3 linked regions of the Daphnia pulex genome follow. The protein of the gene in region 3 purifies or fractionates together with the protein of the main gene of each other region. This does not show direct contact. Links are inferred from orthologs where the notes say so. Each region holds a gene or a part of one and is shown on either strand. Other genes may lie near its edges. The genes, in order: ring canal kelch homolog, BTB/POZ domain-containing protein KCTD5-like and cullin-3-A-like.

What was found.
Region 1: the proteins of cullin-3-A-like (region 3) and ring canal kelch homolog purify together in Drosophila melanogaster (affinity purification with western blotting; 3 studies listed by BioGRID). This does not show direct contact. The link is inferred for Daphnia pulex from reciprocal best matches to the Drosophila melanogaster genes Cul3 and kel.
Region 2: the proteins of cullin-3-A-like (region 3) and BTB/POZ domain-containing protein KCTD5-like purify together in Drosophila melanogaster (affinity purification with western blotting; 4 studies listed by BioGRID, with this or other methods). This does not show direct contact. The link is inferred for Daphnia pulex from reciprocal best matches to the Drosophila melanogaster genes Cul3 and inc.

What each region holds. Positions count from the first base shown.
Region 1 is NC_060028.1:8,914,930-8,925,076, forward strand, and holds ring canal kelch homolog, read right to left. Parts: upstream 5,654-10,147; 5' UTR 5,372-5,653; coding exon 5,313-5,371; intron 5,236-5,312; coding exon 5,092-5,235; intron 5,022-5,091; coding exon 4,793-5,021; intron 4,728-4,792; coding exon 4,552-4,727; intron 4,480-4,551; coding exon 4,383-4,479; intron 4,323-4,382; coding exon 4,166-4,322; intron 4,104-4,165; coding exon 3,994-4,103; intron 3,931-3,993; coding exon 3,818-3,930; intron 3,755-3,817; coding exon 3,577-3,754; intron 3,513-3,576; coding exon 3,372-3,512; intron 3,308-3,371; coding exon 3,215-3,307; intron 3,145-3,214; coding exon 2,982-3,144; intron 2,916-2,981; coding exon 2,743-2,915; 3' UTR 2,418-2,742; downstream 1-2,417. Other genes in the region: ankyrin repeat domain-containing protein 17-like, read right to left, coding at 1-40, 120-327, 1,580-1,978; uncharacterized protein LOC124209560, read left to right, coding at 5,901-5,970, 6,173-6,567; uncharacterized protein LOC124209561, read left to right, coding at 7,144-7,201, 7,270-7,452, 7,521-7,741. UniProt on the Drosophila melanogaster protein: Component of ring canals that regulates the flow of cytoplasm between cells. May be involved in the regulation of cytoplasm flow from nurse cells to the oocyte during oogenesis. Binds actin.
Region 2 is NC_060023.1:11,048,462-11,057,706, reverse strand, and holds BTB/POZ domain-containing protein KCTD5-like, read left to right. Parts: upstream 1-3,872; 5' UTR 3,873-4,021; exon of another isoform or gene 4,022-4,123; intron 4,124-4,187; 5' UTR 4,188-4,189; coding exon 4,190-4,387; intron 4,388-4,446; coding exon 4,447-4,743; intron 4,744-4,810; coding exon 4,811-4,930; intron 4,931-4,989; coding exon 4,990-5,019; 3' UTR 5,020-5,186; downstream 5,187-9,245. Other genes in the region: L-xylulose reductase-like, read left to right, coding at 8-260, 325-430, 510-611, 672-725, 794-857, 931-1,034; beta-TrCP-like, read left to right, coding at 2,104-2,211, 2,275-2,451, 2,516-2,641, 2,703-2,837, 2,906-3,180, 3,252-3,329, 3,391-3,721; ragulator complex protein LAMTOR2-like, read right to left, coding at 5,223-5,369, 5,429-5,555, 5,623-5,658, 5,738-5,805; uracil-DNA glycosylase-like, read left to right, coding at 6,174-6,302, 6,365-6,553, 6,627-6,777, 6,851-6,893, 6,956-7,044, 7,142-7,320, 7,388-7,537; lactosylceramide 4-alpha-galactosyltransferase-like, read right to left, coding at 7,897-8,227, 8,283-8,917, 8,992-9,147.
Region 3 is NC_060026.1:11,979,734-11,989,851, reverse strand, and holds cullin-3-A-like, read left to right. Parts: upstream 1-5,208; 5' UTR 5,209-5,386; coding exon 5,387-5,452; intron 5,453-5,526; coding exon 5,527-5,724; intron 5,725-5,791; coding exon 5,792-5,977; intron 5,978-6,036; coding exon 6,037-6,240; intron 6,241-6,306; coding exon 6,307-6,486; intron 6,487-6,556; coding exon 6,557-6,751; intron 6,752-6,828; coding exon 6,829-7,176; intron 7,177-7,234; coding exon 7,235-7,342; intron 7,343-7,407; coding exon 7,408-7,649; intron 7,650-7,720; coding exon 7,721-7,847; intron 7,848-7,904; coding exon 7,905-8,074; intron 8,075-8,135; coding exon 8,136-8,274; intron 8,275-8,331; coding exon 8,332-8,459; intron 8,460-8,528; coding exon 8,529-8,553; 3' UTR 8,554-8,773; downstream 8,774-10,118. Other genes in the region: fibroblast growth factor receptor 4-like, read right to left, coding at 38-475, 537-656, 712-938, 1,011-1,235, 1,326-1,401, 1,480-1,604, 1,679-1,895, 2,034-2,179 and 3 more; 60S ribosomal protein L8, read right to left, coding at 8,886-9,160, 9,333-9,551, 9,730-9,871, 10,058-10,118.

The sequences.
Region 1 (10,147 bases), on a different chromosome or scaffold from region 3:
CCGAGCCGTTTGCTGTCTCCTCCAGTCAGTTTTCCAATTCCTGGTAATTTTGTAAAGATAATACACGAAAAGATTAGGAATATTTATTGAAATTTCTGAATTTCTTTTAAAGTTTTTACCTGCAGCCTCGAGGAGAGCTTCAATCCTGGCCTGAGTGTCTGGATCGATGCGGGGTAGTTCGCCAATGCTGTGTCCGTCGTGTTGAGCGGCAGCAGCGGCGGCTAGAAGGAATCGCGGCGCGTCCAGCGACGAGGCCGAAGACGAGGGGCATCGGCAGTCGTCCGCACAGCCCTCCACTTCCGACTCCTCCACAAAAAAAGATTCCACCTACAGGTCAATTCCCATTTTCACAATGACACAAACAACGAAGGAACGACAGTCGCACTGACGAAAACTTAACGACAGAAAACGGATGATGGAGGTGGTAATATTATTCGATTCCCTTCTTTACATTTGGCAAGCGAACCCCTGGGTTTCTAGTTATTTCAATCGCCATCGGGCGGATTTCGGTTATTCCAAAAGCAGAGCCAAAATGGGTACCCCAGACACACCAAAGATTGCTTTAAATAACGGCAGGGTCCTTCGTTCCTTTCAGACTTGACAACAGGTGCTGGTCGTGTTGCAACTAAAGTCGGGACAAGTAACTTTAAAAAATAAAAAAATAAAAACTTTGGAATGACAGCCGAGTCGGGTCTAGCTGGAACGATTTGGACAAAACTGGGACAGTGCTCCGCATTTCAATTTGGTGATTTACTTTCCCTTCTACTTGACATGTTTTCCATAGTTTGAAGGCGGAACTATTCCGCCACTTTACCAAGGGGGCCAACTAACATAAGCTTCACATTTTGGAAAAGAAGGTACTACACCAGTACAAAAACATTTTGCAAATCAAGGGGGCAACGGCCCACCGGAATCCCAAAGAAAGGGCTTCGACGCTCCCCCACCGTATTCCCCCTACATAATCTTTTGCCTCCCTTTTTTTCCCTCTACACATTCTTTTTGGCCAAATCCCTTCAAAAAGGCCCCCCTCCCTCTTTCTCTTTCAACCTCTAGTTGTCCCCCAAGTCCATCCATCTGATTTGCCATCATCAATGAGAACGAAGACCGCTTGAACCCTGACCAAACCCCACGCCAAACGCCGAAAGATGACACGGCATAAACAAGCTGTAGATACGATAAAATCCTCTGGTGTCAAACGACGACTGTTCCTTGACAGTCTGATGAAAACAGCCAAATTAAATGATGCTCTAAATAAGCAAAAAACTTTTGAATCATGGCTCTCTCAAGGAAGTAGAGCAGCAGTGAAGTAAGTCAGGAAGAATAACTTTGCAAGCTTTCAGAGGGGGAGTCCTATTTAAAGCTCAAAAGAAAGGATGATTTAACTAAATCTAAGCATCGCAAACACAATAAGCATTTGTACTGATGCCGATATGTTGATGTAGGGCTGACCAACACAGGATGGAACTAAACCAGGGGGACATTTTGATTGATAAGATTCCACTGGAACTGGGGAGTTGTTTCCTAGATTGGTGAGCTGAGAGAAAAAAAGTAATCCTATGCCTTTCAGGAAGCTACTTACCGAAAGGACGTCGTCACTGTCACTGTCAGAAGAGTCAGGCATAAATTGCTGTTGGTATGACCGACTCTGCTTGACTTGTTGGATAGCTATCTCAGTAGCTAGGGCTGTTGAACAAGAGTTGGCTAGGTCTGTCACAGTAACAGTCTTGTGATTCAGATTGGGTGGTGGAGGTTGATGATGATGATGAGTTGATGTTGGGTGGTTGTTGCTTCTGCCCGCGATGTGATTGCTCTTCGGGACGGAATTGCCTTTGCTAGGCTTGCTCGGCTTTGCACTGGCAGCGGACGTCGCAGGGGCTGTAGCTGCTGCTGGGTTGGCCAATGCACGATGCCCGACCTCGTGCTGTTTCACGCAGTTCCCTACACTTTCAGAAGCAGAATTCTGTACCACATTCTGCATCTTCAACAAAGTAGGCAATTGTCGAATACATGAGCCAAACGGCCGTTTTTGATCGCCGGCGAGCTTCTTAAATTAACGAGACTTTTCTTTGATCCAAAAATGGGGACTTATGATAGCCTTTTGGGTGTATTGCAACGACGACAGACTCTCCACTGACCTACACAGCCGCCATTTGTCTACGTTCATTCGTACAGCCCAATGGCTAAAAAGGCCGGATGTCTCTTAACGCCATCTATTGGACATGAACTTGATTGCTTGGGAAAATGCGGGCTTTATAGCGACATCTATGACTGATTTTAAAAAATAAGAAAAAACGAGGTTTAGAATTTAGATGGTTTTTTGTTTTCGTTATTCTCAATTCTCAACTTAAACATAAAATAAGGATAACTAATAAATCCTAGGTATATTAAAAGAAGAGTTTTGATATAAAAACACGAAACTTGAATAACCACGATGTATTCAAAAACTATTTTTCGTACGGTTGGATACAAGGAACACAAAAATAATTCGTTAATGTACGCGATGTTTTTTTTATTCGATTGTTTCACATCGAAAGTAGGTAGTGTTTGTTTTGCAAGACAACCCCAAACCCTAGGATTTTTGGCAACATAAATAATAAAAAAATTACGAGATTACCATTCGAACATCGTATGGATCTAAAAGCAGCGATAGAAAAGGCAGCCGCACTGCTGTCCCAACATGATTGGCGAATTAAAAATGAACATAATGAAAAATTTAGGACAAGAGCTCTTTTTCTTGAACATTCATGAAGGCCGGTTAATGATGGCTATTCCAGCATAACTGCGTCCGATACCCATACATGCAGGTAACATTGACCAAGTATTGGCTGTGGGGTCGTAAACTTCGACCGAGTTTAAATTTGTCGTTCCATCATCACCTCCAACGACGTAGATTAGACCATCGTGAGTCACCACACCTATTAAAGGAAATGAAACACACAATAATTGAAATGCTTAGAAATGATTATGAGTATGAATCTTACCCGCATTTCTCCGACACAGCGACATATCCGCTGCAGATGTCCACGATTTCGTTGCAGAATCGAATTTTTCAACTGAACGTCGAACCATGGGTCCATCGTGACCACCAATGGCATAGAGAAAGCCGTTCAATACCCCCACACCAGCTCCGCTACGTCGGCAGGCCTGACCATAATTACATAATCCATTATTAAAACGTCTCCATCCGAACGGAATATGCGTTTTAATACTGTACCATTTCCCCAACTAAGTTCCAAGAATCGGTTTCAGTGTTGTAGCATTCAACCGATGACAGGCAATGCCTCGAAGCCCCATCGTATCCACCAACCTTAAAACCAAATGCTAGACTTAGTCAACTCTTATCTACACGGGTTTTTGTTCTGCATATTTACCGCATACAAGAGACCATTCAAAACACCGACGCCAACGCTGCTGCGCCTTGTATTCATGGAAGCTATTGCACGCCATTCTTGCGTTGCCGGGTCGAATTTCTCAGCAGACATCAGGCCAGTCGATCCATCAAATCCTCCGACCTGGGGTAACAACGAACCACGATCAAAGGAATCCGCACAAAAGTTGATTTTTCTTGAAGCTTACAGCATAGATGAAATTATTCAAAACGGCGACACCCAAGGTAGATCTGCGCGTCTCCATGTCAGGAGCTGGAAACCACTGATCCAAATTTGGCTCATAGAGATCAACTGTGCGCACTCGTAGGGATCCGTTGAATCCACCAATTGCATAAATGCGTCCACAAACAGATGCCAAACCCGCTCTGATGTAAGAAAAGAGAACGCAATCAACATTTGTTTTGTTCGTAGAAGTTGAAGATATTTACCTGCAACGTCTAGTGGGCATTTCCGCCAATTGATTCCATTTCTCGGTTTCGAAATCGTAGCACTCAACTCCGCGAATTGCTTTCGGACTTTGGCCACCAACGACGAGAAGAAGCTAAAAAGTATTCAAAATTAAAATTCGCCGAGGTTTGATAAAAGTAAAATTAAATCAAAATACTTTCGGCAAGCCGATTGGTAATCTTGGACGAGTTCTAGAAGTTTGATAAATCCGCTTTTGATCAGCTTTGAGCAGATGATACTTAAGAGCTTCAATCAACAAATCTTTGCCTATGAAATAGTTATTTTAATAAAGTTGTCTTAAAATTTTCAACTTATTCACGGATGCTTACAATGAGCATTGGATCGCATCAAAGTGTTGGTCTCGACATGTTGCAAAAGGTAGTCTTGGGAGAGGAGGGGAAGACGAACATATTCCATAAGGGCAGGTAATTCTGAATTTCTACTAGCGATGTCGGCATTCACCCAGTTCATGACAGCTTCGTATACCTTAAGAATAAAAATAATTTTAGGACAAAACAACAGCACACTTTCAATGAAATTTTAAACCTTTTCTTCCGAAGGTACTGTCAACTTGTCACTACTAATAATACGTATCACATCTTGGCAGTTTAGACTGGTGAATTCTTCTCCGTCTACTACGTCACTGCAACCAATCACCAAATTTTGAATTAAATGTCAAGTTTCTAATAATTGGGAAAATTATTTGCAGTAGTACCTAAAGTGTTGGGAAGTATATTTGTCAGCTAAATTCAATAGATCTATGCAGCCATGGAGATCAGCGAACGCTCGGATTCCAAGACAGTTGGAGGGATGCAATTGAGTGACAAGAAATTCACTACAAGCTTCTTTGACATCAAACATTTGCAAAAGATTCGCGGCCGGCAGCAAGATCTGCACAAATAACTTATTGGAGTTGCTTTTTTATTGTAAAGCTAAAACAATTAATTTTTTTTAACCTGAACATTATCTTCATTGACTTGAATTTCAGAAGAATAAACATATTCTAGCAGGAGTCCAAGGGCCTTGGGATCCACATCTTGGAGAACAATTCTGTTCTGATTACTTTCTTCAAAGCAACTAAACATTGCATGAAAGTAAGGACTGCAAGAAGCTAAAACTGCTCTATGAGCAGGGAATTCTTCTTGATTTGTGGTTATAAGGACAACATCACAAAGAAATTTGTCTCTGTTCATAAACAATAAAGAAAGGAAGTGTTACTTCATGTTTGAGCATTGAGAAGGGAAGAAGAGCATACTTTCTCATCATGTTGAATTTCGCAAATGATTTTGAAAAGTGATCTGAATTGCGATAAGATGGCCTCTCAGGAGAAGACTGGGCAGATTCTTTCTGAGAGCTTTCATCGAGAGAGTTTTGACTGGCATGGCGTAGGAGAAGCTTGCTAAAAAAAGACGGGAACATGATTAATAATAAGAAACCATATTTTAAGCCTTACAAATGAAAAGTTGTAAAACATACTGGACATTTAGATGATCTGTAAAATCCCTAGAAGACGAACTATTAGAACTAGTCGACATAGCGGGCAGATCAAATTAGACGACCAACATCAGCTAGGTTTAAAGACAACACACAATATGGAGGTAATATTCAAGACTAGATGACACAATTTCGTCACTTTTCTTGATCAATATCAAGCGTCGCGCACACAATTTGGCTCAATCAACGACTTGTTTTGGTTTGTTTTGCTGGTTTGGTTTTCCGTTGTGCGCTAAAGCAGTCGACACTAATTTCAAGGCCGTTCTTTATGGCTTCCGCTTCTCCCAGCACACAGCACAGGCTTCGGCCTTCGGAGCAGGTTTGATTTGCTTACGCAACATTTTTCATTTTCTGTTTAGAAAATCGATAAAGCAATATGTTATTGAAAGCAATTCAAAAATAATTGGAAGATGACGTAAAAGAATATTTTTTTGCACTTGAACGGTTTCTCATATTTTTGAAATGGCTGTCGGAAAGTAGTGCCACCTGGCGGTTAATATATGAAGCCATTACTTGACGTGACTTGACATCGCAACGCTGTCTCACCTGTCTTGAATAAAAATTTAAGAAATGGCACCGATTCGATCCTTGGGCGTGTTCGCCAGCATTGTTATATTTTATTTATTTGCTATCAGAGAAGGTATATCATTTGTTTACTATTTAAAAAATCAAGCAATTGAAATTTTGATTTTGCCGTGTTTATAAAATGTCACCGAAACCACTGTAGAGCGATTTGAACGTGTGCTTGTTTTGACGTTTTCCAGCGTCTTAAAAATACAAAAATGCTTACGATCTTAAACGAAGAATTTTGAAGCTAACCTGTTTTCTTTTATTTCTTTTAGGTACTGGTATCAAATGCTGGGTATGCAGATCCTTGGAAGATCCCAAATGTGCTGATCCGTTTGACAACACATCCACACCCTTTTTCGACTGTGCCACCTTCCCTGAAGTAACTCACCTACCAGGTGTGAAGGCCACCATGTGCAGAAAAATCCGTCAGAAGGTGAATGGAGAGTGGAGATACATTCGCTCTTGTGCCAGGCTTGGAGAGCCTGGTATCGGTGGAGATGAACGTTACTGCCTTCAAAGATCAGGGACATTCAACATTCACATTGAAAGCTGTACCTGCAACAGCAAGGATGGATGTAATGCCGCCAGCTCAATGCTACCTTTGAATCTCATGATGTTAGGTTCTGTTTCCTCAGTTTTAGCCCTATACCACCTCAACAGGTTGTAATGTGTGTAATCTATCTGATTTATCTCCACATCATAGTAATATGAATCTCAAGCCATTTTATTCATTCCATTCAAGCCGTCCAACCGCCTGAATTTTTACGCCGTCCATAAAGTGCCTTTTTATCAGTGAAATGAAAACGACTACACACATGTAGAAAATAAACGATTGTTTTTAAGTCGCTGATTTATTATTTTCTTTGCTTTATTGGCCTTTCCACACAAGGAAACGAAATATTTCCCTGTTTTATATCTGACAGACTGACACGCACCTCGATTCATTGATGTATTGAATTTCACTGTGATCGTATTATGAAAAATAAAATCGTGTAAAAGAGATTTCTTTCTTTATCTTTTTTTAAAGCTAAAATTATATTTTTTTTAAATGTTTTTTTTTTAAATAAATTCAATTTTCATCGACTCTAGATGAACGTGGCAACCGTGTATCTTGAAAGTTCCTCAACAGAATTGTTTTGGGCGGTGGCGTTTTTTTGATCACCTTTTTATAAATGCAAATTATTTAAATAATATCAAATATACCTTTTTAAAATCTGCAAGTGAATCTCACTTGAATTTTTCAATGGCTGCCCAAATTGTGTTGATTCAGTTGTTCGTCATCACCTTATTCGTCCAATCAGGTATGAAATCGACACTCCATGTTGTTTACCTGAATTGAGCACACAATGTCGTTTTTATTTCTCCACAGGTTTTTCCATCAAATGTCACCAGTGTTCTTCCAGCCAAGATGCCAAAGGGCAAGACAATTGCGGGGCCTACAAATTGTTTGACACCAGAAAAAGTATACCTGTAGACTGCAACAGCGATGAATCTGTTACACCAGGAACGTTCTGTGTAAAAATCACGCAGCAGGGTCCCCGAAGCTTTGTCTGTAAGACCAAGATCAACCACCCAATTTAATGCTGAAGAATTTTAAACATAATTTTTTGTCTATCTCAGGGGATGGACGCTGGAGACAGGTCATCCGTCGCTGTGCATCTGTGGCCGACACAGGTGTGACAGGTGTGTGTAATTGGGGAGTGAAGGAGAATGGTGTCTACTGGGAGGAATGCTACTGCGCTCAAGATGGTTGCAACGGCAGCAGTCATATCTCCACAACCCTTTCTGCAATGATCCTGCCGTTGTGCCTCTCCATATTCATGAGATACTTTGCATGGTAGCCTCACAAGGTCTCATATTTCCCTTTCTTTATGTGAATTATTTCCCATCGTAAACATTTTCTCAGCACACAGTGCCTTTAAGCGGCTGATCTGGTAGTTAGTTATACCTTTTTGCACACCATTTGACAATTCAGCATTTTTTCTTTTTCAAAGAGTGTGATGTTACTTAAAAAACAACACGTACATATCCGTCCAGAATCGTGCGTAACCATCCGTCCCTTTTTGTTTCGTTCCAGAGTGAAAATGTCTCTCCCAAAAACAAAACAAATAGAAAAAAGGAATTTATTTTATAGTGAAAAATACTGGATGCTGCAGGTTGATATACCAACGACAATTCTTGTAGAAGAAATAAAAAAAAAGATGAAAGTATTTGGATGCTTTTCTATACTGGATATCATGATGGATGTTTTGTCATTCTTTTCGCACTGACAAGAGAGAGAGAGAGGAAGGAAGCCGCAATGCATCACACCCGGTACTACCTCTTGGGTATGTCAACGTTGCAGTTAGATCACCATTCTGCCAGCAGTCGGCGAAAGAAGTTTTTTATTTTCCCTCGTAAAAGAGAAGAAAAAAAAAGAAACTGTGAAGCTTTCCGGTTTCTTTTTTCTCCCCCTCTGTTCTTCCTTGACAACGAGAGAAAGAAGGAAATAAGTTCCAGGAGTCAGGAGTAGCATCCTGATATCATAGAGCAGCCAGCTCCTTATTGTATACCAGAAGCGGCTGCAAACAAACAAAAAGTTTTTAAGTCTTTTTTCTTTTTCTCCTATACGTTTTAACTGTTTTTTTTTATTTCCTGTTTGCGACGGTATTCGCGTATAGCACCCACAAAAAAAGAAGTTGCTTCAACTTTCTTTTCTCCCCCCCCCCCCCCCTCTCTTTTTGCCCAGGGAACAGGTTTGTATTCACACGCAACCAACCCCCTCCCGTCCTGGGCTGGAGTAAAAAAAAGTGAGTGAGTGAGAGGGGGGTGAAGTAAGAGAAACGTGTAAAGCATTTCCGTCTGTGAAACATTTCGAGGGTTGGCATGTACTACTACGTAGCAGCAGCAGCACTGGAAATCTTTGCTACGTGTTTCCGGGGGCCATAGCAACAACAACAACCGCGACTCTCTATACACTCTAACCCGAAACTCTTTTACAGACATATCAAGACACAACTACTACTACTACCAACTATTCCTCCTTCCAAACACACACAGTTGCATTATTTCGCTTCAATCTCGCTGTGACGTGTAGGAGCTATATATATACACCCATGTGTGTGTGGAGGGGGTATATATCTAAGCTCTTTATTCGGGGCTGTCGACTCTTTTATTATTTCAATGACTATGAAAGAAGCAAAAATTCAGTTTTATTTATTTACTCGCGTCATTTTTTGGTTGTTTTTTTTTCCCGAGGACCACCAACGGCGGTTTTTAAACGACCGATAAAAACCCGAGTGTATACAAGGGAAATGACGATTGCAGCAGCACCTTATAGGAATAATACAAGGGGGAGAAGGATTTAATCATATAGGAAGACTTTGATGAAATTTTCCCCTTGTTGACTCTGTCCCGCAATTTAGATGAAAACATTTGATACGACAGTATAGTGATGGCACATCTAATATATACGATGACATCTATCCGAGTAACACGAGAAGAAAACTGCTGGCCAAAAACGCATGTAATATGTATAACGGAATATATATCTATTCCGAGTTGAGCACTTGTAACTCGGTATGATGGCCAATATTGCCAATATCTGCTGCTGGCCTATACGTAGTACGTAGTGCGGATATGCGAAACTGCGACTTAAAAACGGAAATCCACCCTTGTCCCGAACGCTTGAGTCGTGAAACTTCCGGCAAGTCCACCCGTCGTGTAACGTATATATTATATCCCAGGCGCGTTTTTGTCTTTCAATTACCCACTCCATCACAGTTTGGCATGGAGGAGCTATATACAGTTTCAAACTATAAACGTGGGTGGGTAAAAGTCTCAACTTTCTATTTCCCCCCTCCTTTTGGGGTGGAGGGAGGAATATTTAAATAAATTCATTTATTGTCTATGAGCGGAATTCCTATTTTATTCCGATGGAGGCCTTTGAAGTGGGCCAAGTGTTGCTCATCTAAACGGCTCAATCAGGAGCCGCCGCCGGCTCCTAATAGCCCTAATAAGCCCATTCAAAATGACTCTGTCTATATCAAGAAGTGTCGAGCCGAAATAGACGGACCGTTTTGTAAAGTGGAAATCAAGTCAGGCTCCTAATGCGGCCCAACTGGCCGCCTAAAGCGATTCAGAGAGCTCCTACTACTATATAACTAGACATAGTCATTATTATTATACAAGAAGGGGCGAGTAGTTTCTTATTAGACTGTACAGGATCCCCGGCTAGGAGCAGCAGCAATCGATCGATACTGTAAATT
Region 2 (9,245 bases), on a different chromosome or scaffold from region 3:
TATTAAGGAATTGGAAGAGCCATTGCAAAACGATTGTTTGAACATGGAGCTAAAGTTTATGCGTTATCGAAGACGTCTGAAAATTTAAGAAAATTACAAGAGGAAGCTCCTGGAATCCTTACCATTATTGTAGACCTTGAAGACTGGGAGGCAACTCAAAAAGCTGTCAAAGATCTGGGTCACATTGATTTGTTGGTCAATAATGCTGGAGTTGCAATCTTGGAGTCCTTTTTGGATATCAAGAGTGAAAGTTTTGATAAGTATGCAGTACACAAACCTGTTACGTAATGTAGAATACCTATCTAACTATCATTGTATTTAAAGGGTCTTCAATGTCAATCTTAAAGCTGTTGTCAATGTTTCTCAAACAGTAGTAAAGCAAATGATTGCTGATAAAACAGGCGGATCAATTGTAAATGTGTCATCACAGGTATTTGTGAATCCAAATGGATGCATGCTGCCTTATTAAATCTCCACGGAAATCAAATTAAAAATTTTAATTTTTGTAGGCTTCCCAGGCAGCTTTAAGAGATCATGCTATTTACTGTAGCACTAAGTCTGCTCTTGACATGCTATCAAAAGTAATGGCTCTTGAGTTAGGGCAACATAAAGTAAGGATACATTTATTCATTTTTTATTTGGAAATTTATTCATGTAGATTTCTGCAACAGATTCGAGTAAACTGTGTGAATCCGACAGTTGTGCTTACGGAAATGGGAAAAATGGTAAGATGAAGAGAAATCATATAGATATTTGATGACCAATTGAATGAATTTAAAACATCTGATTTTAGGGTTGGTCAGATCCCTTAAAGTCAGGTCCTATGCTTGCTGGAATCCCCTTGGGTAGATTTGCAGGTATATTCCATTATGCGATACTGAATTTAGTATAACTCTTTACTACTTCTGCTTACCTTATTTTATTATGCAGAGGTCGAAGAAATAGTGGATGCAGTTGTATTTCTTCTTAGCGATAGAGCTTCCATGATTCACGGAACGACTCTTCCGGTTGATGGGGGATTTTTGGCGTGTTGAAACTTGAAACGAAGATTGAACATGCGTTTCAACTTTTTTTCAAATCTGGGGTAATGTAATGTTAATAAAAGACTATCAAATTTTTGCAATTTAAATAATAATAATAATACATTCCGTTGATTATTGTTTTTTCCGGAAGACTTTTTAATCGCGGTTAAAAGTTTAAACTGAAAACCAGACCGCAGACTAAGAGCTATCACTGTGGCAGAACTGCAAAATAACAAAATCTAGTGAGTAAACGTCCCATAAGTAAAAGAACCAACGATGGTTATGTCAGAGCTCTGGTTTTGTCGGTTTTATTTGATTTTTCCGTTTTTGAAACGAGAAATGTTGGAAAACGTTTTCGTGGCAACGTTGGACTGACGACTATTTATAAACAGTTCGAGAATCAGTGTTTTGCTAAGTTTCTGTCTTGTTTGTTTAAGTTTATTGACAACTTACTGACTCTAATGAAATGATCGTCAATCAGCAGGAAAATACTGTGGATGCCTGTGCATACAATTTACGTGACGGAGGTACTAGCGTCGATATTACTTCTCTTCTTCAAGGTACGAAACGTGAACGCTTTTTTGTTCGTTCGTTCATAACGCCTTATAAGGCAAACTCTTGTGTGTCTGTCATACCGAACATAGCAATGTACATTTGTTTATATTACGAATTTCAAGTAATATTGAAAAATTTCATGGCAGTCGCGAGAATTCTAGCCGGATACTGAACCCCTTTAGACGCTAGGGAATTCAGATGACAAAAACATCTCTAATGTTTTTTACTTTTTACATTTGTCAACCTTTATGCAGATTTTGGTGGTATTCAGTTTACATGAGCCTTGTTTTTAAATACTCTATTTTGTTTGCATTCAGTTGATCTGATTGCCAAAGGAATATTCCAGAATGTGGATTGTCTGGGTCTACTCAACGCACGTTCCGTCTCTACCGCATGGCAAGAGGCAGTCGACAATGCAAGAGTTTGGAAAATTGTTCTTGATAAAGACGTAAAATTTTACTTGCTCCAAATCATATAGGTTTTCCTTCAATTCTAATTAAGGTTTCACTAGGTAAATTGGAAGAAAATGTACAAAGTCTTGATTAAGAAAGGTTTCGCAACCGAGACGACAGAGGATGACAACTATTCAGAATTTTACCTTGATCTCTATCGAAATATCCGGGATAATTTGAAGGTTTGGACATTGGATAACCCGTAAATAAGTATCAATTTTAACACCAATTTTTAATTCAATTAGTCTCTGGAGAAAAACTGGATAACAAAGACGGCCTATCAACGGGTAAAAAAATTGCCTTATGCAGGATTTGTAGAGCATCTAAATTTCAAAGTAAAACTGAGCGACCAGTACATCGTAACACGTCAAAGTCCCCAGACGATCGAGATCTTTAATAGATGGACTTTGCAGTCGGAAAGTGTAATAACTGAAACTTCATTTGTAAATTCCATACATTTAGAGCTGAATATTGATTGAATATTAGATTTTCGATATTGGAGTCGATAGTCACAGAGCTATGATGAAATCTATCGATTTGACTAGCGAATATCTTGCTCTTGGATGCAATCGTGGAAAAATCTTCGTATTTTGTATGAAAACAAAAGAATTGGTAAGAGGACTTTTAATTTTGATCATTTCCACAATAATAAGAACAGTGGTGAATGCGGAAGCTTCACAAACTTATAGACGATCCAGCCTTATTAAACTGTGAAAGCTTCGCTCAGGACGTCATGGCAAGCAGGGTGGATTGCAGTTACTTGCGGTTTAGTCCATCAGGAAAAACGCTGTTGTCGTGTATTACCAACGTAACTTAACATAATTCTAATTTACTGTTGTGAGTGAATCATTAATGTATTTCAATTTACACTTATAGAACAGTTGTCAGTACGAAACCCTCTCGTTGCGGAAGATAATATCGCCCCGAGAGTGGAAAATAACGCACCAACAGACTATTCACCAGTTTAATGTGCGCCGAGTTCAAATGGATGACTCCTATATTTACCTACAAGGTGGCAATAATAAAGGGATTCAAGTTCGATCAGCAAGTTCGCTTGAACTGATTAATACCATCGCCGAATCCGAAGCTTTTATTAAAAGTTTTCAACCCTACGATCGGTGGATTATTATTGCTGGCCGTGAACAAATCAGGTAAGATTCGCGCAAAAGCGTAATTGCTACCTGTTATTCATACGCTACTCTCTTACTCTCTTTTCCTTTAGTTTATGGGACATCGAACTTGGAACATGCATTCGACAATGCCAAATGAATCAAACCGATGGAGATATCAAAACCATTGGGTAATGTTTTGTTGTTTCTTTCTAACGAATCAACACTAAAATTATCATTTTTTTTTTACAGGCTGGTAGGCGAAAAATACATAATTAGTTGCCACGTGAATTGTTGGTCTTCCGACTTTTTCCTGTTAGGGGTGAACGTTTGGGATCTTGAGTCGTTAATCAATTCTCAAAAAGAAACATTGAAGCCAACTTTTACGTTTAGCGTATCGACTCAATCTTGGCACGAAGCAAGCGTTGATGGTATTCGGGACACGTCGGTGGAAAAGCTAAAAGTTTTTGTCGATGATTATCAGATTGGATGCCTTGTTACATGGGATTTTGACTATGAGAGGCGTGAAGTGCCAGTACCAATGTTGTATTTCATGGACTTTACTAATCATTTTGAAACCTAAGCTTCAAATCGAATATTTTGCTATTCTATTTTTAAAATGTATTATCTTTAAATTTTGTTTAAATGTTTTGTTTCAAATTCAATTAAAAAAATTAAAAAAAGAAAATTATTCATTCATTCATTTCAACCCAATTGAAGGAGACTCCTCTAGATGGCACCACGGCTGCTTCGATAATCGATTATCTTTATCGATTCAAAGTTGTATATTTTCGCATTTTTGTGCGTCGAATTTTTATTTAGTGAAACCAAATGTTAATGAACGATTTGAATCTGTGAAACTCGCTATTTTAGTCCTATACTGGTAGGTGATTCTTTTGTGCAAATCGTGACTGAGAGTGTAAGAATAGAATTGTTGATGACTTTTAGTCACAATCCATATGCTGGTTAGCAGTCGATAACAACGGTTCTTTATTGTTTGAAAAAAGTTGTTTGAACGCGACTAATTGATTTTTTAAAATGTATTTTAGAGATGGCTGAATGTCCGGAGATGAACGGGATTGCAAATAACATCGTTTCAGAAAAGTGGGTTGGCAGCAGAAAGTCTGAATGGATACGTTTGAATGTGGGGGGTCACCACTTCCTTACCACCCGAACAACCCTTTGCAGAGATCCAAAGTCTTTTTTCTTCAGACTCTGTCAAGAAGACAACAATCTTGCCTCAGATAAAGTATTACTTTATATAACCTCAATTTTAACTTGAAAATTATGCTCTTTATTTTAAACTAGGATGAAACAGGTGCCTTCATGATTGATCGGGACCCTACTTATTTTTCACCAATATTAAACTTCTTGAGACATAGCAAACTAGTTATTGATAAAAACTTGGCTGAAGAAGGAATCCTAGAGGAAGCTGAATTCTATAATATTACTGAACTCATCCAGTTAATTAGAGATAAAATAAGACTAAGAGATGAGGTACCACAGAAGGAAAGTAGGAAGCAAGTTTACCGTGTATTACAGTGTCATGAGGATGAATTAACTCAAATGGTTTCAACTATGTCTGATGGATGGAAATTTGAGCAGGTGTGTACACACAAGACAATCTTATTAGTTACTACAGACTATTTATTCTAATCTTTTTTTTATATAGCTAATAAATGTTGGGTCACAGTACTCTTATGGGAATGAAGACCATTCAGAATTCCTGTGTGTTGTATCAAGAGAGTGTGACAAGAGAGAAAGAGAAACAGAGCCTACTGATAGAGCCAAAGTAAGTATCTGCAATTTACTATTGATGGAAGCATTTAAAAATGTTGTTTCTTTATTTAGGTGCTTCAGCAGAAAGGGTTAAGAATGTAATAAGCTATGGGATTTTTGTACCAGGAACCAAATACTGAACTAAATTTATGCAGAGAACCAGCCTTGTGGGATTTTATCCACGTTGCAGCCATTTTGACACTTCTTGTTCACAAGTGTTGCTTTTTATTCACAAGTGCAATACAACTCTGCTTCACAGCTTCATTAAATTTTAGGAGATCCAAATTTGTATTATAAAAAAATGTTCATGATGCTGCTACTTGACGAAGAGGAGAATCAAGATAGTCTGCCAATGCCTTTGCTTTAGCATGAAGCATTCCAAAACACACATTTTCTTTAGCATAGAGACATAGAAGTAAATTAGCAACTTGGGCAATCACCACTTTCCCATCCTTTAAAGGCATTGGCAAAATTAATATTTGTGTTTACTAAACTTTAAATTGAATAATACCATGCAATCAAGAAGAACACATTCCAGGACATCTTCATTGAAGGCAACTTTCCCATTTTTAGCATATGCTGACCAAATGTTGCTAGCTATCGCTGCTGTCACTCGTGCATCCTTGTCCCCATAACCACTTGAAAGCCACAAAATTGTTTAAACACTATAAACAAATGTAAAACATTTTAACACATTTTGCTCACCTGTAAGCTAGCAACGCCCCCTCCGTATTTAAAAGCCTGCATAACAAATTAAGATAATAAATAAATAAAAATAACTAACAATCGTTAACTATTTTAAGGTATCACGCCATATTACAAAGTGCTTAAGATTCCGCCAGTGTTTGCTTGAGACAAGACTTGAGTAAGAGCTTTTGGTTTTAACATTCTTTAGATTTGTTGGTATCTTCTGTTTTGACACAAGCTGAGTCAGGGCTGAGTACAGCTGTTCAGTGTTCACTACTCCTCTTAGTCTCTTACTAAAAAAAAAAAAAACAAATGAATGCGGATGTTTCCTACATAACCAGGCCAGGCTGACAATCTCTTCTTCAGGCAGCGGCAGCGGCAGCGCCCCTTCCGTTGACCAGGGAATTTTTTCTCACTCAATCTTGTCAAATTCTTCTGCTGTAGGTGGCCTTAATGTATTCATTTCAGATTGGTCCAAAGGTGAATTTCGCGCCCGATTATTTTGACTTTGGTGTTTAATTACAATCATGATTACAATGAACTAAAGTTGCTTCTTGAAGTCAGAAATCATGCCGCCTCAAAAACCTTTGACTCATTTTTTTAAACCTCTTCAAAGTGGAGGTGTGAAGCGTACATTCTCAGAACTTGTGTCTGGCAATAAGACAGCTGAAGCCAAGAATGTTCAAATTGAAAACAAAGTAGGTTTTTTTGTTCTGTGTATACATGCCTGGTATTTTTTGTAAAGTCTATTCATTTTTAGCCTGTTGGAGAAAAATCTGGTGAGAAGACTGAAGTAGTTACTCCTGAAAAAAAAGAAAGAATGGGCACTAACCACTTGTTAGCGAAAATAAAATTGCAAGCGAAGAATACTTGTGCCTTACACCATAGTATTGGTCATTCATGGTTTCAAGCAATTGAGCCAGAGTTTAAGAAACCCTACTTTGGTGAAGTATGTACATGTTTCTTTTTTTTTAACTTTGAATAACAATTATTTTCATTTACCTACATTATTTTGTTTTTAGCTTAGTAAATTTCTGGGTTCTGAAAGATCAAAGTCCACCATTTTCCCTCCAGAACATCTTGTGTGGTCTTGGACCCATTTCTGTGATATTCAAAATATCAAAGTTGTTATTATTGGTCAAGATCCATATCACGGTCCTGGTCAAGCTCATGGTATAGTAAAAAATAATTACTTTTATGGCTTTTAAGATAAAGAATTGACATTACATTTTTGTTTCATAAAAAGGTTTGTGTTTCAGTGTTTTGAAAGGAGTTCCTCCTCCCCCAAGGTAATATTTAAAATTTTTACTTTAAAAACTACTGTGTCTAATTTTTGCAAAACTATTTGAAGTTTGGTAAACATCTTTAAAGAGCTGGCTTCAGATATTGATGGTTTTAATATTCCTAAACATGGTAATCTCACTGGATGGGCCAAACAAGGTAGACATTTAAACAAAATCAATCACAGTTTAACGTTTGTCTTAATCTTCAAATAAGAGTCACGTAAAATTGTTATATTGATATTTCACATATTTAGGTGTGCTCCTTCTTAACGCTGGCTTAACGGTCCGATCGGGCGCAGCAAATTCGCACAAAGACAAAGGCTGGGAAACTCTGACGGATGCCGTGATCCAGTGGATTAGCAGTAACTGCCAAGGTGTTGTCTTCCTTCTTTGGGGTGCATATGCCCAGAAGAAAGCTTTAGTAGTAGACAAGGTAACCAATTCATTTGTTTACGACTTCATGCTTAATTAATGTTTTTTTTTCTTTTCTTTTTTTGTAGAAAAAACACCACTTGCTGAATGCCCCTCATCCTTCTCCACTATCTGCTCATCGCGGATTCTTAGGATGTAAACATTTTTCAAAATGTAATGAACTTTTGCTCAAGCAAAACAAAACACCAGTTGACTGGTCTAAACTCCCCATTGAGTGAACAGTCAAACCTCAGGTTATAACAGTTTTTACATTCACTCTTGCCTCAAATGTTTTCAACCATGATATTCATGTTTCAAAACGCGATTCACAATGCATCTTAAACCAAGAGCAATACTAATTTTACATTTAAAAAAAAAACAATTTGTTAATTGCTGATGGATCTTCAGTAATTTTCTATTGCCAACAACAATTATGGATATGCTGATACTAGAAAGTTTTGCTGGCATTTTTTAGTCGCAGCGCAATGCATTTATGTATTTAAGAAAAACTTGTATTCTTTGAAGAATGAACCTTGAAAATAAGAATTAGGAAACCAAATGTTGAGAGACGGTTCTACCGCTGTAGAAATACGAACTATTAAAACACATTAGGAGCCATCGCAAAAATCGAAGGACATTGGGAACGAGCAAGTTTGGTGTATACTTGTTCGGAAGTTTTTGAAACTGCTTGGCCAGCGCTCTTTTGGTTCCATACGTGAATTCCAATTGTGTCATTATCCCACGTAATATCTTGTTCCAAAAAATATCTCAACCATTTAGGCCATTCGATTGGATAAAATGTTTTTGGAGGAAGAATCTCAAAACCGTAGCAGCTATCAGAATTCATTTCGGCAATGTTTTCTGTCAAACACCATTTTGTCATTACGCGAGTCAGGAGCAATGGGCCATTGTGACCCCAAATATCCTTTCTGAAGTAAAGAAAACAGTTAAGTCATCTAGTTTGGGAAATTTTCGTGTACACACCTGTATGTTTCTCGGAACTCCTCCACTGCCATGCGGATAACAGGATGTAGGTAATCAACGTGAAGTGCTCCAGCAGCCAAATTTTTCTCGTTTTCCGCCACGATGAAGTTTCGGTAATGTGTCACTGGTTGAACCATTATTATATCCAAATCAAAGTAATAACCTCCGTAATTGTACAGTGTTAGGAACCGGAGTGCGTCGCTCAGATGAGACACGGCAAATGAACCGTAATTCCAAGTAGAGCAGAAATACCATTGTCGAAAAGGCGAATGTATGAAGTAATCACCTAAATTAATATTATAGATTTTTATGTTTTCGTAATTTCCCAACGTTTTCATAGTTGTAGAATTCCAATCAATATCTTTCCCGCTCATTAGCAAAATGACGGTCAAGTGTGGGTTCATTATTGCGAGAGATTCAACAGAACAGGCTTGGCGGAAGTCAAGTGCCCGAACACCTGAGGTTTCATGAAAAAATGCCTTCTCTTGATCACGTCGAGGAAGTGGAAATTGAGGTTCGAACAAGGGACATTTCCATAAGCAATCCGGTCTGCCGCAAATATCAAAGGAGTTATGGATGCTTACGCAACATCTACCACGATCAGCTCCCGAGACATATATCACCGGATGGTTCATCTAAAAACGAAATGTTTTTACTGTTCCCAATTTTTTAAAGGTGATTTTAAACTTTTTGGTAAGCCGACACTAACCGATCTGACGTAAAAATCTGATTGCATTACAAAATATCCTGTGCAGATGAATATCCCCACTACCGTAAAAGTAAGTAGGAGACGCCGTAAGAACCCCATCCTCATTATTTTACGGAAGATGCATCGAAGTAATGGTTTAAGCATAATTCTGGCCATATCTAACGGCTAAACGTTATCCGAGTAGCAGTTTGTACAGAATCGTAATTTTTTGGTGTAGGAAATTGAATCGCTCTTCTGCGTGATGTTTCATGCCG
Region 3 (10,118 bases):
GAGAAAACCAAGATCCAGCTTCGGTGTTCAATTACAATCAATCAAAACAATTTGAATCATGTTTGGCCACGGTAATGCAACAGGGAGTATCCGTTTCCATATCTCGTTCCCTGCTCATTTTGATGTAATTTTCATCCAATTTCATTAGCTCGAGCACGGCATGAGGTTCCAGTTGGGCGTAAAACATCTTTTCCAGCTCGTGGAAAATGGGTCGTTGTAGAGGTTCCGAGCGCCAACAGGAATACATGATCGCGCTGACAAACTCGGGTGCGTTTGTGGGTTTTTTGAGTCGCCTCCCCATCAACAAAATTCGTACCAAGAAATCTTTGTTCGCCTTGGCGTACACGGTATATGGTGTTTCCCCCAAGGTGAACAGTTCCCACAGAACCACACCAAAGGACCACACGTCAGACTGGTGGCTGAATAGCCCATCTTTCAGCGATTCAATCGCCATCCATTTAATTGGTAACAATTCCTGGTTAAGTAATATGACAATTTTGAATTAAGAATATACTGAAAATAGCAGTGCTACATACTTCGTTATTTCGTGATTCGATGCCGGAATGAGTTTGTAGTGACATGCCGAAATCCGACACTTTAACAATGTTATTAGCGGTAAGAAGGATATTACGTAACGCTAAATCTCTATGTAAAACCTACGTTTTCAACAATCATTTACTGTTTGACATATTAACGACTTAAGTGTAATACCTTTTTGACAACAAGATATGCCATAGCGCGAGAAATTTGATATGCCCAGTAAATGAGATTGCGAGTGCTGAAAGTGCGGTTCTCGGTATTATTTTGACCGTGAAAATGATTCCGAGGAATCAGATTCCTGGATTCGTTCAATTCGCTGAAAAATCTGTGACGGAAAGTTATCAGATGTGCACGCAAATTACTGAACGGGCAATACTCGAAGACGATCAACAAAGGTTCTGCGAAATCAAATCAGGAATGATTTTATTATTTTCAAAAGTTGTTATTTTGTCAATAATTATATGCTTCACCTTTATTCGTGTATTTTGTGCAGGCGCCTAGAAGATGGACGATGTTGAGGTGACGTCCAAGTTGGGACAAAATTTTGAATTCCTCTAGCAGACCGTGTTTAGCTTTGAAGTCGTCATTTGAATGAACAGTTTTTACCGCCACTGTAGTCACGGGTTCATTGGGTACGATCCCTTTTGCTTCTGCTTTCAGGATGCGTCCGAAGCAACCGACATCCAATTGAGATTCTGTTGAATTATTCATTAAAATTAGTTATAATACTCCAATTAAAAAAATTAAAGCAAAACGACGAAAATTAAGTATACAATTTCACTTACGTAATTTCAAACGACATCGAGGGAATTCCCAGCGAGGGTCTTCAGCCGTTTCTTTTTCTCGCGATTCTAATTTAATCTTTAATTCATTAAATGTTATTAATTTTCCCGTAAAATGTTTGATTTAATTTGAATAAGAAAAAATTCTTTATTGCACCTTGATCAGAACTATCGCCAAGCTAAACAGAGTAATAAATCCAAGAAATGCAATTGTTGAAGAAAGAATAAACGACGTCGAAAATTGAAAATTGCCCGTTTCCGATTCTGTTGCGGGAGGTCGTTCTAAAAATAAAAGTAGATTGCTCAGATAGGTTGGGAAGGATTTGATACAATATACAAAATAGGTTCGTTTATACCGTCGTCTGGACAGGGGATGATTTTAAATCGTACACCCCATTGAATTTCTGACACGTTAAATGATCGTTTTTCCGCCCGACATTCATAGATACCCTCAACATTCGCTATTTGAGCTGGGTCCAATAAACGGAATCCCTGAAGCGCATCATGTGTCGAAATTCGGTCATTCTTATCTTTGGCATCCTGCTTTTCCTTAGGCGGGCAGACGATCCTCGTCTGAGTGCCGAAAAACATGCAACAGGTTACACATTTCACGAACAACAACACGATGTTTTTGTTCCACTTAAACTTTCGATTAGCTGTTTAGGACGAAAGTGCCGCTGAATATCAGATGATGTTTGAAGATGAACTTACCGTGTTCAAGTCCGTCGTGTTTTTCAGGAAAATCTTTTGGAGTAACTGAATCCTGACGACCGGATGTGTCGGCTTGCACGGAATTACGGATTCAACCCCATCAATTTGGTAAACAGGTTTCATGGTTGGAAACAAATGATACGGATCTAACAAAATAAGTGTCTCTGCTTACTTCTGAGTCAATCAAGGATATAATACATTTTAAGTATAGTAAAGGAATATTTTATACCTTCAACTAAAATGTAAATGTAATGATTTGACGTCTTTGTTCGGCAACTATACGACCCCGTGTTTAAATAGCTTCCTTTTTGTACTGCCAAGTTGACATTGAAGATACCATTAATTTTTTTAATGCTAACCAAAAAACGACCGTTGTGGGATTTATTCTGTTTGTAATGATCAAGCTAGACAATAACGCAGGTTCTTTTTTGAAAGAGTCTTAGTGTTATTTTTTTTTACCTTGATTTCCAGATTGAAATTTATCGGACAAGTGAAGCTGGTATCGTGACTTATACAATTGATTGTGAATGGTTTTTCACTGATTCTATGATCTTCTAAATTGTTAGGCAACGATGGTTTCGGCGGTGGCGCGGCTACTCCAAATGACAAGCATACTGAGTGTTTCAAAAATTCGGTATAGTAGACGATAAATGTAATGAAAAGTTATTTAAAATTGAATGATATTCACTGGTAATTATTATAGTAATAAGCCTTTGATTCTGTTAGAGCACGGAAGATTCGGAACACGAAAGATTATTGACTTACTTGAGGTGATGAGAATCAGCGCAGACTTTTTCGCTAAATTTGAATTTTGATAGAAATAAGCACGACGTTGAAAACTCATTTTGTTTGACGCATTAATTATTCACTTTACTTACAGCTTAGCCTATATTGAACAAGACCGCTAATCTTCAATATTGGTCCATTAATGTCCATAAATCAACTGTGTCACTATCCTATACCATCTCGAGACCCAACCGGCAAGCGCCCGTTTTCAATCTATCAAACATATTATCAACGACACCAATTTTTTGGCACACGAGCAGCTGACCGGTTATTGGCTAATGAGAAAAGCGCAACTTAAAAACCTTTAAATTGATGGACAGGGCGACAAGGACGATTTATAGAAACTAACACCATTATTTTCTCTGTTTATTTAGCCACACAAAACTTTCTACATACATTAAAAGCTGACTTTTATGCGTTATTTACTATTGCGTGAAATTTAATTATGGATGCAAACCAAAATTATAGATGTCACTACTTACCACGCGCCGCCGTTACGACGTTCCACTGGTCGTCCGGTATTTTATTGACACAATGACTAGCAAGTTAGTGCGAGTTACGACAACGAGAGCCTAATCAGCGTGTGGCAGTCATACATTCAATCAGTGGGATTATGGTCTTATAACGAAGCGAATCATCTTTTAATAAAAGAAACTCTTTTCTTTCAGCTAAAAAAAATGGCTGATCGAAGTCGTGCGCCAATTATTGGCTTGGGAGTTCTACTCATTGCATTTGCAATGAAAGATTTTTTTCTCCCGGCTGATGTGCAGCCAGAAGAAAATTCGGTGCAATCTAAAGAAATTCCAAGCTTGCATTTTAATCGATTCGCTGGGCCTTCAATAAAGTTCACCTTTTGGTAAAAATAATGTGAATTTTTCTGTTATTCATGTTCATAAATTAATAATCAACTTTAACAGTTCTTCCTGAGGTTACCGCAAGGTATTTGAGCAGTATGCTGTAATTCTGCAACAGAAATACCCATCTTTGGCAATCGAAGGAGAGAACCATCCTCCACCCTATTTAAACCAAAAGATTGCATCTATTTTGGTATGTCTGTTTTAAACATACAGTTAACAAACTCCCTTCTTTATCATGATATAATTGCTTGTTTCAGGGAATTTTGAAAATACTGCTCATCCTTGTAGTGGTGTCGGGAACCAATATTTTTGAGCATTTAGGTGTGCAAACTCCCTCAGTTTGGGAGTGGACTCAGCAGAACAAATTTTATGCGTGCTTGATGACTTTCTTTCTATGCAATGCTGTTGAGGGCCAATTAATTTCAACTGGAGCATTTGAAATCACATTAAATGGTGAGATTTCATTGAATTCATTACTTCCCTATTAACTTACCTACTTATCATTATTTTTGTTACAGATGTTCCACTTTGGTCTAAAATGGAAACTGGTAGAGTTCCTCAACCCCCTGAACTTTTTCAGATGATTGATAACCATCTGAATATGGCTAGCCCCCAACTAAGCTTGGATTCATAATGTGTGCTGTGTGGTGTGGTGTTAATTGTTACATCTTGTTTGAGTCTTTAGCCTTTGTAGATATGATGATTCCTTTAAAAAGTAGTGGAAACTACTGGAAGCGATCGGATGTTTACCTACACAAGTGCTTTGTATAAGAACATGAATGACAATCTAACACTTTTTCCCCCATCCTCCATTCTTCATTCCATTTTAGTAAATAAAAACCTCTAGTCTATGGATATTCTTGGTTTTAAAACAACAGTAAACTGGCTAAAGTTAAACAAAGCTCCTGATTATAGCTTTCCTTATATAATAGTTTATTCAGAATATAAATAAGTCTTTGGACGTTGTCGTGGTGGCTAAGCATAAATCCTTCTTAATTTATTTGCGATATTGGGTTTCAATGAAACGAAGCTGAGAGAATTTGAATCCGAGATTACAACGAATTATGTAAGTCCTTCCTAAGTCCTTTCTTTTTTAATAAGAGATAAGAGCTAAGATTTCCCTAAGAATACGACAATGCGCACGGCGCTGTGGCAGGCACAGATATGCATAAATACATTTATATTAGTAAAATTAGCAAGGAGCATGCTACTGTCTGACTCAAAGCGCATAATTCATTACGAGTTCTCCAGTGAATGTGACTTTTTACTTTTAGTGCCTTTTTTTTAAATATTCAACACAATTTTCTGCCAACCCTTAACCCTAGCTATTATTATGAGCATTTTTTGAACGGAAATGAAACAAACGAATAATTTTTTTATCAATGATATTTAATAAAGTCTTTTTCTTGCGAGTGGCCAATGTCGATGCGTATTTTAAAAAGAATAAAAAATGCGTGGAGGTGATTTCCATTTTTCATTGTCCTTCAGATGGATGTGTTTCAATTTAGCCGCTAGATGGCAAAATACAACGTTGAGTTTTCTGAGGAAGAGAAGGAAAGAGAGGTTAGCCTTTAGGTTGCCCTGTTTTTTTTGCTTACAAGGGGGGCCAACTAGTTTGATGGAAACGTTTTAAAGGTTTCGGAACTATCAATATTTGGCCGATACTTGTATTTTTTTCGTTTCGTTATTTAAATTTGAGTGAGTTTCACGATGATGAAAGGTGGTCTCGGCGGCGGTTCAAAGAAAGAAGGAAAAATGCGAATTCGTGCATTCCCTGTAAAGTTTATTATAACACTTCATTCTGGCATTAGAATATCTTTGTTATTGTTTTCTTGTTTTTCTCAATAAAGATGACGATGGACGAGAGGTATGTGGAAAATATTTGGAGTTTACTGAAGAATGCCATTCAAGAAATTCAGAAGAAGAATAACTCTGGTCTTAGTTTTGAAGAACTTTACCGAAATGCATACACAATGGTTCTACACAAACATGGAGAGAGATTGTACAATGGCCTTAGAGAAGTTGTTACTCATCATTTAGAATCTAAAGTAATATCTTTCTTGCTCAAAAAATTTTCAATTTTACTAAAGATTTTGCCTGATCACTTTCACATAGGTTCGTCAAGATGTGCTTTCTTCCTTGAACAACAATTTCCTTCACATTCTAAATCAAGCATGGAGTGATCATCAAACATCTATGGTTATGATTCGTGACATCCTCATGTACATGGACAGAGTTTATGTTCAACAAAATAATGTTGATAATGTTTACAATCTTGGATTGATTATTTTTCGTGATCAAGTAAGTGCCTAATTCAATAGTTTATTGTTGGATTTGATTTTAATTGAACTTTCTATAAGGTTGTTCGTTATGGAGGCATTCGTGACCACCTAAGGCATATTCTTTTGGAAATGGTTGTCAGAGAGCGTAAAGGAGAAGTTGCAGATAAGCTTTCTGTTAGAGCAGCTTGTCAAATGCTCATGGTGCTGGGTATAGACAGTCGAGCTGTCTATGAAGAGGATTTTGAAAGACCTTTTCTTTCTCAATCTGCAGAATTCTACAGGGTACAAAAACTTGGTTGTTAATTTTTCTACAATTTATTTAATTATTTTTTTACTTTGCTTTCACAGTCTGAGAGTCAGCGGTTTTTAGGGGAGAATTCAGCTTCAGTTTACATAAAGAAAGTCGAGGCGCGCATTAATGAAGAATCGGAAAGAGCCAAACATTATTTGGATGAGTCGACCGAGCAGCGTATTGTTGCAGTAGTTGAAGAGGAACTTATACAGAAACACATGAAAACGATTGTTGAGGTGTGTAAAACTTAGATTAGTGTGTTTTAAAAAATGCTATACAGAAAAATAATTCTTGTTTTCACACTAGATGGAAAATTCTGGTGTAGTACACATGTTAAAATGCCAGAAAACTGACGACTTACACTGTATGTACAAGTTGTTGGGTCGTGTAGCGGATGGTTTGCGAACCATGGCTAGTTGTGTCAGCGCGCATTTACGAGAAGAAGGCAAAGCACTGGTTAATGTCGACGAATCCGGTGCCAATGCATTGAATTTTGTCCAGGTATTTTTATTAAAATTTACCTTTTTTTCTCTCTGTAATAATGATTTCTTTCATTTTGATTTCTAATGACACTATAGAGTCTATTAGATCTTAAGGATCGCTATGATACATTTCTGGGAAAATCCTTCGTAAACGATCCAATCTTTAAGAAAATGATCTCTTCAGATTTTGAATATTTTCTTAATTTGAATTTGAAATCTCCCGAATATCTATCACTCTTTATCGATGACAAGCTCAAGAAGGGCGTTAAAGGAATGACAGAGCAGGACATAGAACTGGTGCTCGACAAAACCATGGTTTTGTTCCGTTTTCTCCAGGAAAAGGATATTTTCGAGCGTTATTATAAACAACATTTGGCCAAGCGCCTGCTGCTGAACAAATCTGTTAGCGATGATAGCGAGAAGAACATGATTTCTAAGCTGAAGGTAATTTATTCATTTCCAATTTATTGAGCTCGTACTAACATTTTAATTACTTTGTTAGACTGAATGTGGGTGTCAATTTACCTCGAAATTAGAGGGCATGTTCAAGGATATGTCTATCTCCAACATGCTCATGGAAGACTTCAAAAATCACATTCAAACTTCTGGGGTAAGAAATATCCAGTAAAAAAATGCAATTATAAAACGGCCTTCCAACCATCGATTATTGATTAGACCTCCCTTTACGGAGTGGACTTGAGTGTTCGCGTACTAACAACTGGATTCTGGCCAACACAATCGTCAGCTACTTGTACACTACCATTGGCACCACGCAACGCTTTTGAGGTCTTTCGCCGATTTTATTTAGCAAAGCACAGTGGGCGACAGTTGACGCTACAACCCGCTCTAGGGTCGGCTGATCTGAGCGCAATCTTTTATGGACCTAGACGAGAGGAGTCTGAGACAAAAGAAAAAACGTAAGAACATTTATATGTTGTCTCTATATACTGAGCATATCTTATCGAATGTTTCGATTGATTCCATGAAGTGATGGCCCCAGCTCGTCAACACCCTCGTCATCAGCTAATGGACCGCGAAAACACATAATCTCCGTTTCAACCTATCAGATGTGTATTCTTATGCTGTTTAACACCCGAGATAGGCTAACTTACGAAGTAAGAGCACGTAGAACTTAATGATTTCTTATTCATCATATTTGATGCTGTTTATAGGATATCATGAATGAAACTGACGTTCCGAAAAAAGATCTGGATCGTGCATTGCAATCGCTTGCGATGGGCAAACCGACTCAACGCGTTCTTGTCAAAAGTCCCAAGGGTAAAGACATCCTCCCGAGTTCTATCTTTGCCGTCAACGATAGTTTCACGTCAAAACTCCACAGGTTTGTTTTACAATTGATCTAGAAAATTTATTATTTGACGACCAACAATATTGAATTGCAGAGTGAAGATCCAGACAGTCGCAGCCAAGGGAGAATCAGAGCCTGAAAGAAAAGAGACGCGTTCCAAGGTCGACGAAGACCGAAAACACGAAATTGAAGCAGCCATTGTACGCATTATGAAAGCAAGAAAATCTATGCAGGTAAACTACACCGTAAAATTTGAAATGGGATGGGTCGCTGACTTTTATTGTTATTAGCACAACTTGTTGGTAAGCGAAGTTACTGAACAATTGAAAAGCCGGTTTCTGCCTTCGCCAGTTATTATTAAGAAACGAATTGAAGGCTTAATTGAACGTGAATACTTGGCTCGCACTCCTGAGGACAGGTGCTATAAGAAACATTTTATTTTATCAAAAAGACTTGAGCTAAAAAAATTTTTTACATATTTTTATAGGAAAGTGTATACATATGTGGCCTAGTTTAATTCGAGTTTGCTTCCTTAAAATTAAACTGGTTTTCCCAATTGCCTAACTGAATTTTCGATAAGACATTGGTTTGCTGCGCGATGATTTTTGTAAATAAAGTTTTTCGCTATTGGAAAAACATGTCTTGTACTCTTGTCCTCAAGTTAAGTTTCAATAAGAACTATGAACCAACTCTTAAATTGGATGAATGAATACAACATAACTTAACGTTTGACTTCAGTATTTTTCTTTCAACGAATGTAATGTATCAGATGCGAATGAAATTTAACAAAATATTTTGGTCTGCTCCGACGTGTATTGGTAGGAGGTACAAGATGACAACATGTTTAATCATCACCCTTAATTTCAACTTTGCCACCACGAATACGACCAGTTCGCCTGGCAGCGATAAGACCAACTTTGCGACCAGCAGGAGTACTCCTCTTGACGGTGGAAGCTTTACCAATGTGTTGATGGTTACCACCTCCGTGGGGATGCTCAACGGGGTTCATGGCTACACCTCTGACAATTGGCCAGCAGTTACGCTTAGCCTTGTACTTATGGTAGGCACGTCCAGCCTTCAAGATGGGCTTGTCGATACGTCCACCACCAGCAACAATACCTACCGAGAAAACAGAAAGTGATTAAGAATTGGTCTTGAAAAGATCAAGACTAATAATATTTTGATCTGCTCAGTAACAGCCTCTAGTTAAAGATCATTATTCTCATAGATGGATGAATTGCATTTCATCATAGCCCAAGTATTTATAACGCGTTTTTCGAATTCAACTTACCAACCATGGCACGGTTGCTGGAAGAAACGACTTTCTTAGCTCCAGAAGGCAGCTTGACACGGGTCTTTTTCGTGTCAGTGTTGTGTCCAATAACGGTGGCGTAGTTACCAGATGTACGGGCAAGGGTACCTCGGTCACCGTGTTGCTCCTCAACGTTGCAGACAATAGTACCTTCAGGCATGGTGCCAACAGGTAAAACATTGCCAATCTGGAGGGTAGCTGTATTAAGATAAAAAACAAATTTACTCTTTTCCTTTCAGACAAACACTAAAAATAAAAGTATTTAATTTTCTCAGAAACAACCTCTAGATGAATGATTATCATAGACCCTCAGCATTGGATATTAAGTTTACATCACTGTGTTCCCATATTTTAAAAACCAAGGTGTTATGCATACCTTTCTTGCCGCAGTAGATGAATTGACCAGTGTACATGCCCTCAACAGCCAAGAAGTTCTCTTTCCTGGTCTTGTACCTGTAGGGGTCACGGAAGTGGACCACAGCTAGGGGAGCTCCACGACCAGGATCATGGATGATATCCTAATTTAGAAAATGTTTTTCGTTAACCACTTGTCAGAACTGACAGTAAAAGTTTCAAGTTAAATAGAGTTCTCAGAAACAACCTCTAGATGAATGAATATCATAGCCCCTCAGCATTGGATTATATGTTTACATCACTGCTTTCCCCCCACATTGTCAAACTCATTTCTGATCCAAGAAACATACCTTGACGACTCCCTTGATGTATCCATGACGTTCAGCGAAATCTTCAGGGCGAAACTTGGGT